3 linked regions of the Pelodiscus sinensis genome follow. The protein of the gene in region 2 binds, or shares a complex with, the protein of the main gene of each other region. Links are inferred from orthologs where the notes say so. Each region holds a gene or a part of one and is shown on either strand. Other genes may lie near its edges. The genes, in order: PPIL2, CWC22 and CRNKL1.

Evidence for each region.
Region 1: CWC22 (region 2) and PPIL2 share a complex: the UniProt entries of both Homo sapiens proteins name them as parts of the minor spliceosome. The link is inferred for Pelodiscus sinensis from reciprocal best matches to the Homo sapiens genes CWC22 and PPIL2.
Region 3: CWC22 (region 2) and CRNKL1 share a complex: the UniProt entries of both Homo sapiens proteins name them as parts of the minor spliceosome. The link is inferred for Pelodiscus sinensis from reciprocal best matches to the Homo sapiens genes CWC22 and CRNKL1.

The regions. Positions count from the first base shown.
Region 1 is NC_134725.1:17,530,628-17,534,374, forward strand, and holds the start of PPIL2 (RING-type E3 ubiquitin-protein ligase PPIL2), read right to left. Parts: upstream 2,493-3,747; 5' UTR 2,303-2,492; coding exon 2,271-2,302; intron 1,021-2,270; coding exon 971-1,020; intron 1-970. UniProt on the Homo sapiens protein: Has a ubiquitin-protein ligase activity acting as an E3 ubiquitin protein ligase or as an ubiquitin-ubiquitin ligase promoting elongation of ubiquitin chains on substrates.
Region 2 is NC_134717.1:47,653,054-47,656,800, forward strand, and holds the start of CWC22 (pre-mRNA-splicing factor CWC22 homolog), read right to left. Parts: upstream 2,206-3,747; 5' UTR 2,138-2,205; intron 2,131-2,137; exon of another isoform or gene 1,956-2,130; intron 1-1,955. UniProt on the Homo sapiens protein: Required for pre-mRNA splicing as component of the spliceosome. As a component of the minor spliceosome, involved in the splicing of U12-type introns in pre-mRNAs. Promotes exon-junction complex (EJC) assembly.
Region 3 is NC_134713.1:194,839,175-194,842,921, forward strand, and holds the start of CRNKL1 (crooked neck-like protein 1), read right to left. Parts: upstream 2,544-3,747; 5' UTR 2,405-2,543; coding exon 2,357-2,404; intron 1-2,356. UniProt on the Homo sapiens protein: Involved in pre-mRNA splicing process. As a component of the minor spliceosome, involved in the splicing of U12-type introns in pre-mRNAs.

The sequences.
Region 1 (3,747 bases), on a different chromosome or scaffold from region 2:
GTAAGTTTGAGGAAGGCATTCCAAGCATGAAATTTTAAATCTTAAAAAAAGGGTGGAGATGCAAGAAACAAAAGAGGTTTACGCTGACATCAGGGAGCCGGAGGGGATGAGGAAAAGAGATGGAACACAGGGCTCTGTAGGCAAAGTCACGGAGTTTAGGTTTGGTGGACATAAAGTGAGAAGCTTGGGATGACGTGGTGGAAATAAGAGCATTTTGGTTTTGTGGACATGGTTAACATTAGAGACCTGAAAATAGATTACAAGTGTAGATGTTGCTAGGACATGAATGAGAAATTCAGTTATAGGGAGAGAAATGAGTGAGATTTTCAAATTCTGTGGAGGACAAGACTCAGCCGAAGTCTGACTGTAAGGGGAGAAGTGTGGAATCAAATATAACACCCAGGTTACAAGCATCAGGATCCCACTGTAACTGCTTTGATGTAGCCAAACTGAGATTGAAATGGCAGTGAACTATACAGGATGACATTTCCAGGGATAATGGAAAGAGCAAAGCTAAGAAAAGGATATAAGCCCAGAGGGAAGAAGAATATTTAAAAGTCATTCATGCAAAAGTGATCTGTAATTGCATGTAAACACATGAAATAATCAGGGGAGAAGGCACAGTCGGCAAGGATGGCACCCTGAAAGAGTCCAACAAAATAAAAGGGTAAACAGAAAAAGAGGTACCGAATGCATGTTTGGAAAGTCAGAGCAAGATCCAGGAAAGGATTCAACCAGGAAGGAAAGGAGGATAGGACACAATAAAAGAGAGAGCAGTCAACAAGTTTAAAGGCAACAGAAAGAGGGGGAGCATGGCAAGCAGGCCTTGAGACTTAGCCAAGAGGTCTTTCACAACTTCAATGAGAGAAGAATAAGGAAGAGAAAAACAGACATCAGCACTGAAGTGTGAACATATGTACAAATCAGAAATAATTGTGAAAAATAACAAAAAGAAAACACAGTAACTTACCTGCTTTCTTTCCTCCATAAAAGTGTGTATATTCTGCACATGTTATGTACCTAAAGAGTAAAGCAGTGTTAATGCTTAATACATTGCACTAATGATATTTAGCAGAAACCAATGATTTTTCAAACTGAAAGTTATATTAATAAGAGATATTAAACATTCTTAGCTACCTTTTTTACACTTTTACCCAATATAGCCAACTCTGATATTAGGTGTCACACCTCAATGTTCCCAATACGAAGAGCTTTGGGGCAATACCACAAAAAAAGAGAAACATACTATGTTGCCACCATATCATGCCAGAGACCAAGTTATAACACAGATGACACTTTTGTTTGCTTTATTGTCACTACGGATGATTCCATAACAACATCTGGAAACTGTGCATTAAGCCTTGAAGCAAAGGAACAAGGTTGACCCACAAGTCACTATTATAGCTTTTGTTCTATATTTACCACGCCAAACTTTTCTTCAGTGCCTAACACAGATACCCCAACTCCTGACCAAGCTGTGAGCTTACAAAAAGCTCTCGTACAGAACACAAGTTCTTGGTTCTATCTAGCTTCTTCTGGATCTGGGAGAATAAAGAACTAGCCGGGGGAAGGGGCACAAGAAAAAAGATTCACATTAAGTGAAAGATGTGAATCTGAAGTGCCATTTAAATCCCTTTGTAGAAACTGAGTTGACACACAGATTTAAGTTGCATCACTTCAAGTTCACACCTTCAATTAATCTGTATTAACTTTCCCAGACATCTCGGTACAGACAAATTCTAAGTATCTTCAAGCTACAGGTGTTAAAATGTGTTTATTTAAAATGCATAAATTTTCAGCGAGTACACGTTTACATACGCGGGTGGGAGGAAACAGGAGCTAGTGCTCCTTGCACATACTGGCTTCCACGCCTGCCACCGCCCCCCCGCCTCTGTTAGAAGGGGGGGGAGAAAGGCCCCTTAGTGTGTAATCGTGTAACCAGGGGGAGCAGCTGCCTCTTCGCACCTGCCACTTATGCCCCTGCGCCACCCTCCACCCCTTCATTAGACTAACGGCGCCTAAACCCTGCTCCTGCCGGCCCCGCCCGGGCAGCGCTCGTGGGGGAGAGCCTGGAAGGGGTCGGTCCCGCCACTGGCTCAGAGGACGCGCCGCTCCGCGCGGCTTAGCGGGCTGCCCGCGAGACAGCCGCACGCGCGGGCTCGGACCCCCACGGCCTGTCACGCCCGACAGCGGCCTGGACCGCGGGGAGCCAGGCCCGGCCACTGTCCGCGCGCCTTGAGCCCCGCCAGAACAGCCCCCCCCCTCCTCACATCTTGTCCTTCTGGTGCTGCCTCTTCCCCATGGCGGCGGTTCTGGCTCTTCCCCGGCGCAGGAAACGCGCCCCCTGCCAAGGGGGGACCCCGAAGTGAGGCGGACCAGCGAGCTCCGGCAGGCCAGCTCCCCCAGGGCTAAGCCGGCTGTTCCGGGCACCTCAGCGACTTCCGGTAGTACGGCGTGCGCCGCTAAACTAGTCACGCCGTACAACCCGGGCGCCCCAAGCACCGTTCCGGAAAGAGCCGCGGCCGTGTGAGACGCCGCTACTCGTAGCAGTTTCTGATTGGTACGCTCGTAAGGATCGGCTCCTATAATATATTGCTCCCGGAAGTAGCACCATCTTTGCATAGAGCTGCTCCTGGTAGCAATTACTGACAGGTTTGATTGTAAGACAGCTGCCCTTATAAGACATTGCTACCGAATGCAGCGCAACCCTACAGGGAGCAGCTACATAGTTATAAAGTGTAAGAAACTGCTAGGCTACGTCTACAGTGGCATGTGCCTTTGCGCAAGAGCATTCGTGCCAGTGTAGACACTCTCTTGCACAAGAAAGCTCCAATGGCCATTTTAGCTATCGGGCTTTCTTGCACAAGAAATTCATGTGGCCTGTCTACACTGGCCTCTTGCGCAAGAACAGTTGCACAACAGGGCTTACTCCTGAGCAGGAGCATCATAGTTCTTGCGCAAGAAGCCGTCAGTGTTCTCGCGTCAGTGTTCTCGCACAAGAACTCCCCGCCAGTGTAGACAGGCAGCATGTTTTTGTGGAAAAGCAACTGCTTTTGCGCAAAATCATGCCAATGTAGACACAGTCCTATTGTTAAACACTAATACCAGAGGTAGCCAATTTCTATAGACCCAGTGATTGTTGTCATGTTTCAGGCTTCTTGCCCAGTGCTCCAGTTGAGGATTAATCAGTGCAAAGTACAGCACATTCTTTACTTATTGCATCTTGCTTACAACACAGGTTTGCCATTTTTGCCTTTATACTGTTGACTGGTATTTAGTATGTGGCCCAAACCACTTGCAAACCCCTCTCCATGTGTTATCATTCACAAACTTAATAAGGACACGCTCTAAGCAGAGGTGACTGATGAGGGGGGGATGTGGAGGGCCTGGACTAGAGAACCCACACATCTATTCCTCCCCTTTCTGGCTCTGCCCTTGCCCTGCCTCATCCCCACACATACTGGCAGCATCAGGGGAAGCACAGTAAGGTGGCTCCAGCTCTCTTTGCTCCCCAGGTTACATCGCTCTGCTTCTGTCCACATGTTTTGGGGGATTGTTACTGTTATTGCCCCTCCCGCATCTCAAAGCCATTATCTAAAGCAGTGACAAAGATTTTGAATTGAAATGGATCTAGAACTGATCACTGCAGGACAACACTCATTATGCCCTTATAGCATCACTGTAAACTACTGATAACTACACCCTGGGCACTATTTTCCGAACAGTTTGGCACCCACCGTATTGTAG
Region 2 (3,747 bases):
AAAAAAAGCTTCTCCCGGTCTCCCTGGTCTGCTGAGGGGGGTCCAGCAAAGCCGCTGGACCCCCCCAGCAGACCAGGGACACCCGAGCAAAGCCACCGCCTGGGCGGCTTTGCTCGTTTGCCCGGGAGCAAAGCCGCCCAGGCAGCAGGACTCCTGCCACCTGGGCGGCTTTGCTCCTGTCCCCTTGGTCTGCTGGGGGGGGGGGTCCAGTGGCTTTGCTGGACCCCCCCCCAGCAGACCAGGGAGACAGGAGCAAAGCCACACGGGCAGCGGGGTCCCTTCGCCTGTGCGGCTTTGCTCGGGTCTCCCTGGTGTGCTGGCAGGGACTCCCCCCAGCACCCCAGGGAGACAGGAGCAAAGCCGCACGGGCAGCGGGGTCCCTCCGCCTGTGCGGCTTTGCTCGGGTCTCTCTGGTCTGCTGGGGGGGAGGGAGCGCAGCTAGTGCGCCCACCCCCCCCTCAGCAGACCAGGCTTTTGTTGCGGGACGCCTCGGGTAGAGCAGCTGGGGTGCTGCCGGGTTGGTCCTGTGGGAACCTACCGGGCAGTGCCCCAGCTGTTCTGTCCCAGGCTCCAGATTCAGCAGCTGTTGAAACTGATCAGGCTGATTCCAGGAAGCTGGGGGCAGAGCAACTCTGCCTCGGCTTCCTGTAGTCAGCCCCTGGTCAGTTTCAGTGGCAGCAGCTGAATCTGGAGCCAGTTCCGACCTACATACAAATTCAACTTAAGAACAAACCGATAGTCCCTATCTTGTACGTAACCCGGGGACTGCCTGTATTACAAAAATTGGCACCCAAAATACTAACCCCTCCCCCCAAAATCCACCAGTGGCCTGATAATTTAATTAGGCACTGCCAAATGAAAATAGCCAATTGCAAGCTAAACTATGTTCTGACCCTGTTCTTTGGCAGGGATTGAAAAATGTCACTGTTCTTTGGAGGGTCTCTTGAAGAGACCTTCACCAATTCCTACTGCACATAAACCTTACGGTTGTGACAAACTCCCAAGTGCCTGCCAACAGCCAGCAAGCCCCAAGACCTCTATGATTCCTGTAGCTTTACCTGCCTTCTTATGGCTACACTACTAACACCACAGCTACTGAAAGGTTTTTTTCCTTCGATGTCATTTATCCACCTCTGAGAGGCTGTGTCCAGACTCAGGGGTTTTTTCGAAAAAAGTAGTCTTTTTTCAAAAAAACTTCACCTGCATCTAGACTACAGCCACATTCTTTCGAAATTAAATCAAAAGAACGCAGCTTTTCTTTTGACAGCGGAAAACCTCATTTCACGAGGAAGAACGCCTTTTTTCAAAAGTGCTCTTTCGAAAAAAGGCGTTCTTGAATGCAGACAGGGCTTTTTCGAAAGAGAGCGTCCAGACTGCCTGGGTGCTTTCTTTCGAAAAAGTGGCTTGCTTTTTCGAAAGTACTGCTTGCAGTCTAGATGCTCTTTTTCAAAAGAGGCTTTTTCGAAAGTATCTTTCTAAAAAGCCTCTTTCAAAAGAGGCTTGCAGTCTAGACGTAGCCAGAGAGGGCAGCCACGTCCACGGAAGAACCCCCCCCCCCCCCCCCCAGTCGTGCCTACAGCACGAGGCAACCACGGTGCTCGGGGCACGACACCACGCACAGCTCAGAGCAAGGCAGCTGGACTCGAGGCTTTTTAGCGAAGCCAATTGCGCAGAGGCCGGTGCTGCAGCCGGGGCAGCGCGGACCCAGACACAGACTCGTGAGGAGCCGAGCTAGCAGCTGGTGCGCTACCGCGGGGCTGGTCTCGGCGATGGCAGCGCCCGTGAAGGGGGGCTGGATGGGCGCTTAACCCTGGGACACCAGGGAGAGGTGGGGGGAGGTGGCATCCGCCCCGACCGCTCGTACCAAGGCAGCCCTCGGCAGAGCCGCCCCACGCGAAAAGGGACAGAGAAGGGCACAGCGGCCTGTGCGAGGTTCCTGCGCGGTTGGAACTAACCTCAGGCTCCCGAACGCCGCCATCCTACCGGAAGTAACATAACGTCCGGCGAAATGGGGGTGGGGTTTTACTGCCGGAAGTGGAGTAAAGCCTCGTTAATGGTAATAATTTTGTAACGCGATTTATTCGACGCTTAGCGGAGGTAAAATAACAGAGAAAAAGAAATGAAGAAAATAACTCGCCCTTCTCGCATCCGCCACGGACGCGCTCCCTCCTACGTCAGCAACATGGCGGCCCCGCAGTCTCAAATGGCCTCAACGACAGCTCCCAGCATGCACTACGCTGGCGAGTCTCTGGGCTCCCTCCAGGTCCGGGTCCCAGCGCCGCCCTCGCGGAGGGATTCGCTGCACGGGCTGTGCCTCTGACTCAACCGACGTGGAACCTGCCGCGCTGACCCCGCCACGTGCCGCCCTGGGGTCGGTGGCTCGGCAGGCAGCGGGAGTTCCCAGGCTGACCCATTGGGGTCTGAATGAATACGAGCCCCCCCCCCCCCCCCCAGTGCCCGCAGGGGTATTTTAGGGGCCGGAGGAAGCTCGCGCCTAGGTAAACCTACCGCTGAGTAACTGGGGCGTGGAATTATTAGGGGGACGTGCAGATCGGGGTCTTCAGGGGAAGGGCTGTTGGAAGGCTGAGCGTGTGCAAACTAACTTCAGCCTTAGCGGTGCTGTGGCTGGCTACTGCAGAGCTTGCAGGCGCAGATAAAGCGAGCACCAGTCAGGTCACAGTAGACCAGTGGTACCAATGCCCCCAGAGAGACGTTTGGGGGGTACGTCGACCCAACTGAAATTTGGAGAAAACTGAATTTTTGTTTTGAGTTTTACAGTGCTTTATTATTTTTTTACGCCCCAAAATTTCATCGGCCACCCCGCTACGATTAGCAGCTTCAGGGGGTAGCTGAGTGAGTCTGTACAGAAAAAACAACAACAAATAGTCTGGTAGCACTTTATAGACTAACAAAGCATGTAGATGGTATCATGAGCTTTGTAGCAGATGACCAGAGTTTTGAGTTTAGGATATGCAGAATGTAGAGGTCAATTGCAGAAGAACTCTGTAGGTGTGACTATAAGGGTGGTGAGGCCTGCATTCCCCTCCCTTTTCCTATCTCCCCTTCCCTACTACTGATGAGCCAGAAGCAAGCCTCTAGAAACATATGCCATTGTAGCAAGAACGAATTGTAGGTAAGGGTGGGAACATAAGTCTTGTTTACCTAAATTTACTGATCATGTAAACAAAGGACAAGTAGCACAGCTGAGCCATACTGTAACAAGCAATGAGTAACCCCCAGAAATTTCCAAATTGCCACAAACAAGTTAGACACACAGTATTTAAAGTTTGCACCAAACATAGCAATTTGGACCTTACCGATGGGCTTTGGGTACCGGTGCCTCAGAAGCTGAGACAATCTCCCACTTCATCTGCAGCCGAAATGGGGGTTTCCAGCTAGCAGAAGGGATGTAAGAATGCCATTTTCCCTATCATGTTATTCCTTTAGTTAAGGGGCACAGCTGATAGCTGACAGAAAATAAACTGCTTTGGTTTGACAGATACCTGTGTAGCATGTCTTTGTACTTTGAGAACCCAGTATCCGACCTGAGACTTACTCTTGCCAGTAACACAGGTCCAAAATAAATATGAGAGAAGGGGCGGGGGAGGGGGAGATAAAAAAAGAGGGAGTGGGAGACAGAGGGTGGAGGGAATCAGTATCTGAAGATTGGGTAGTTAAAATGAAACCGATAGAATCAAAGTCAATAGATAGTATCCTTCCTGACATAGGAATCTACACAAGGAGCTG
Region 3 (3,747 bases), on a different chromosome or scaffold from region 2:
TCCCCGCAGAGTCTGTGCTGGGCAGAACTAGTTTTTAATAGCATCTGATATAGAGGCAGCAAGGGGGAGTGGGGGAAGCAACTAGTCACTTACATCTGTATTCTGAGATTCTACTGCATAAAACCAGGAGTTTTTACATTTTTTGGAATACAGAGTAAGGCTCCAATCCTGCAAATACTCATATACTAACTTAACTACACGAGTATTCTTATTGACTTCAATATAATTATTCATGCCCATAAGGCTAAGGATATGCGTATCAGTGCGATGTGGGAATTTTTCAATACTTTTTCTTGTTGGAAATGTTGATTTATCAAAACCAAAACGTTTCACGTAAATGTATAATTTTTGATGAAATTTTTGGGGGAAGTTTTTTCAGGTCACGGACAGAATTTCTCATCAGAATCAGTTAAAAAAAAACACACTTGATCAGAAAAGCCAATAATCAGGATAGTCAATTGAACTTGGGTCTTTTACAGTCCAAGTTCCTGCTTTGACTGAGTCAGAGCAGGGACCTGAATCCCAGGTGATTGCCCAAACCACATGGGTATTGACTATTCTCAGATGGGTCTCTCTCAATATAAACTGTTGGAGCTGCTTCACTTCATATAAATTAAATATCCATTGACCCAGAGTGAGAAAGAATGGCTCTTTGACACTGTTCTTTAATTGGTGGTTCATAGACTTTAACCCTGTCACCAGGGCTTTCTGTTTGACCTGCTACAGGACATCAACTGCTCCTTTATACCCTCAGAAACAGTCAATCAAAGCTTCTCCAGACACAGAGGGTCTCATTCCCCTGCCCTTCAGGACTCTAGCCTAGTTTCAGAGGAAAGGCAGGAGGAACTATCCCTACTCACAGGAGAGTTGGGGAGGATGAAGAAAAAGCTCTGCAACTCAGGGTCTCCATTCCCTCTTTCCCTGCCCCCTATAAGTGGGAATGACTCCTTTCTCATCCCTTTAACATCCTACTATGGGAGGGGGAGTAAGAAACCTCTGAGATTGCCTGGAGAGGCAGAGGGATACTACTGCAGCACCCTCCCCTTGGACAGGGGTGTGTGTGGAAAAAGTCCAGTAAGAGCAGAAGGGAGGCTGGAGGCAGGATGGGCTGAGCCCTGGTTCTTAATTAGCAGCCCAATCAGCACACAGCTGTAGCCTATGTGACATCCTTAGGGCCACGCAAATAGTATATATAAAATGTGTAGATGTGGCTCACCTTACATAGAGAAAGAGCTACATATGCTGTCCACAATGGTAAATGGGTTGAAAACCATTGGGCTAGGTACATGGGTGTTGTAGAGAGATGGGGGAGGAAAAATACAGAGTAGAACAGATGGGAATTGGCCAGATGCACTTCAGTTTGTTTTCTACCATCATGCCATCTATATAATTTAGAAACTTTTCCTTATCAGAGCTTAGTTCTATTGTGTTTACATTTCAGTTTATGGTGGAATGCTTTTAATCAAATGCTTATGCAACATAGGGTGATCTGTAATTGATGTACTTTCAATAGCTAGCTTGACCACATGCTTTGCAGTACTTTTCTGGGGAGGGAGGAATAGTGCGAGTACCAATATTTCAGGCTGTAGGAAAGGGAAATTTGATGTCCATGTGACTTTATAACTATGAAATTAAAATTAGATGTTAGAAATCTAACTGCATGTTTTAATAACACTAGTGTTTTTCCTTATTTTGTTTGCAAGATTTTGTTAGATTACTGTTCATGGCATGGCTAATTTTTTGAGACTAACAAATATTCTGTTATATTACTCTGGAAAGGGCGTGAACCTTTGCCAGTAGCAGGCTTGCTACAGAGCAGACACCTGAAAAGCCCTTTGGTGTGGCAAGCTGTGGGCACTGCCTTATTCAGCCCCTTAAAGTAAAATTGACTATCGCTGCTCTCCCGGGGGGTGGTAAAGCACCAACTCAGGCAGAGCAGGGACAGGAACGGCAAGGCTCACAACAGCCCCCATGAAGTGCGGGGGGGCCCCTCATGATTGTGTGGTTCCCCCCCAGTGAAGCTGGTAGCTGGGCTCGGGCTGCTTGTGCCAGGCACTGAGCCAAAGCTGTTGCAGCAGCGCTCGCGCCAGCGACCCCCCCTCCTCACTGCCCCCCCCTCAGCTCCCTCCTGGTCCACTGGGGCATCGCCCTTCTCCCCCCCCCATACCCCCGGCGGCCCCTCCCCCTGGTCACAGGCCCCCAGTTCCCTCCCTGAGACACCCCGGCCCCCGAGAACTCACCCTCGTGCCCTCCCCCAGCACCGCCTCGCCTTTCCCTGCCCCCACCCGTCTCCCTTCGCCCCCCCCCCCAGCCGGGGGGCACCCCCCCTTAGCGCTGGGTCCTGTCCCCCCCGCACCTTCGCCACTTTGGGGATTCGCTGCTTCCCGGCCGCCGTAGACGCCATGTTGCCGCCGCTGCTGTGCACTCCACCTGCCTCCACCCCGCGCTGACCTTTCACCTTTCACCCCGCGCGGCGTCACCCGGGTCGTTGCCACGGTAGCGGCGGCCGCGCGTCTCCCAACGGCTGCGGCGGAGTCGCTGCGTCCCGGGTGAGGCGGCGGCGTCAGTTCTTCATAGCGCTGAGCCGGCGGGGTCCACAGGACGCTGCGTGCCCCTGGTAACCTCCGCGGCGCTCTGGGAGGGCGGGGCAAGGGCGCTCCCGGGCCGGGGCCACAGTGGTGAGCGGGTCCCATCTCCCGTAGCTCCCCTCACCCTTGGGACTACATCGCCCAGCATGCAACGCGCGCTTCCCGCACGGCGCCTACCGCTCCCAGCATGCAGCGCGTTTGAGAGCTCGTCCTAGCGCCTCCTCTGCGCTGCCCCCTGGTGGCCTTCCCGAGAACTGCAGCTCCCCTTGGCCCGGGGCTGGCCGTGGCCAATGCTGCGCCATGAGTTCCAGCAGCGGGGCCAGGCGCAACTGGGGCGGGGCACAGCGGCCAACCTGCTCGCCCCATTGCTCGGTGGGAGGCCACGCCTGTGGGCCTTCTAAAACTCCAGCAGCTCTTACGGTCTTATTTGAGAAAATAAATCCGTAGCTGCATAGTGTAAGAACGGCCACGCTGGGTCAGACTAGAACCAGTGAACTGTATTTTGGGTGAATGTCCACGGCTGGTACTTGATTCAAAAGAAAGTTGTCATGGGATAAGAGGGAAGGTCCTTTCGTGGACTGATAACTGGTTAAAAGACAGGAAACAAAGGGTAGGAATAAATGGTCAGTTTTCGAGTGGAGAGGGGTAACATGTGTGGGTCCCCCAAAGTTCGGTCTTGGGACCCATCCTATTCAACTTATTTATAAATGATCTAGCAGTTCCCAACCTTTTCCAGATCAGGATCCATTTTGACAATTCAGGAAGACTTGATGACCCACGGCAATTCAAAAATGGAGGGAGGAAGGGGGGGGGGGGCAGAGCCACCTGGGGAGATACTTGGCAAACCTTTTAAAATGTAATGGCAACCCATATTTGGGTCACAAGGTATAGGTTGGGAAACCCAGAAAGGGGTAAACAGTGAGGTGGCAAAATTTGCAGATGATACCAAACTGCTCAAGATAGTTAAGACCAAAGCAGACTGTGAAGAGCTTCAAAAAGGTCTCACCAAACTAAGTGATTGGATAACAAAACGGCAAATGAAATGTCATGTTGATAAATGTAAAGTAATGCACATTGGAAAACGTAATCCCAACTATATACAATATGATGGGGACTAATTTGACTACAACGACTCAAGAGAAAGATCTTGAAGTCGTTG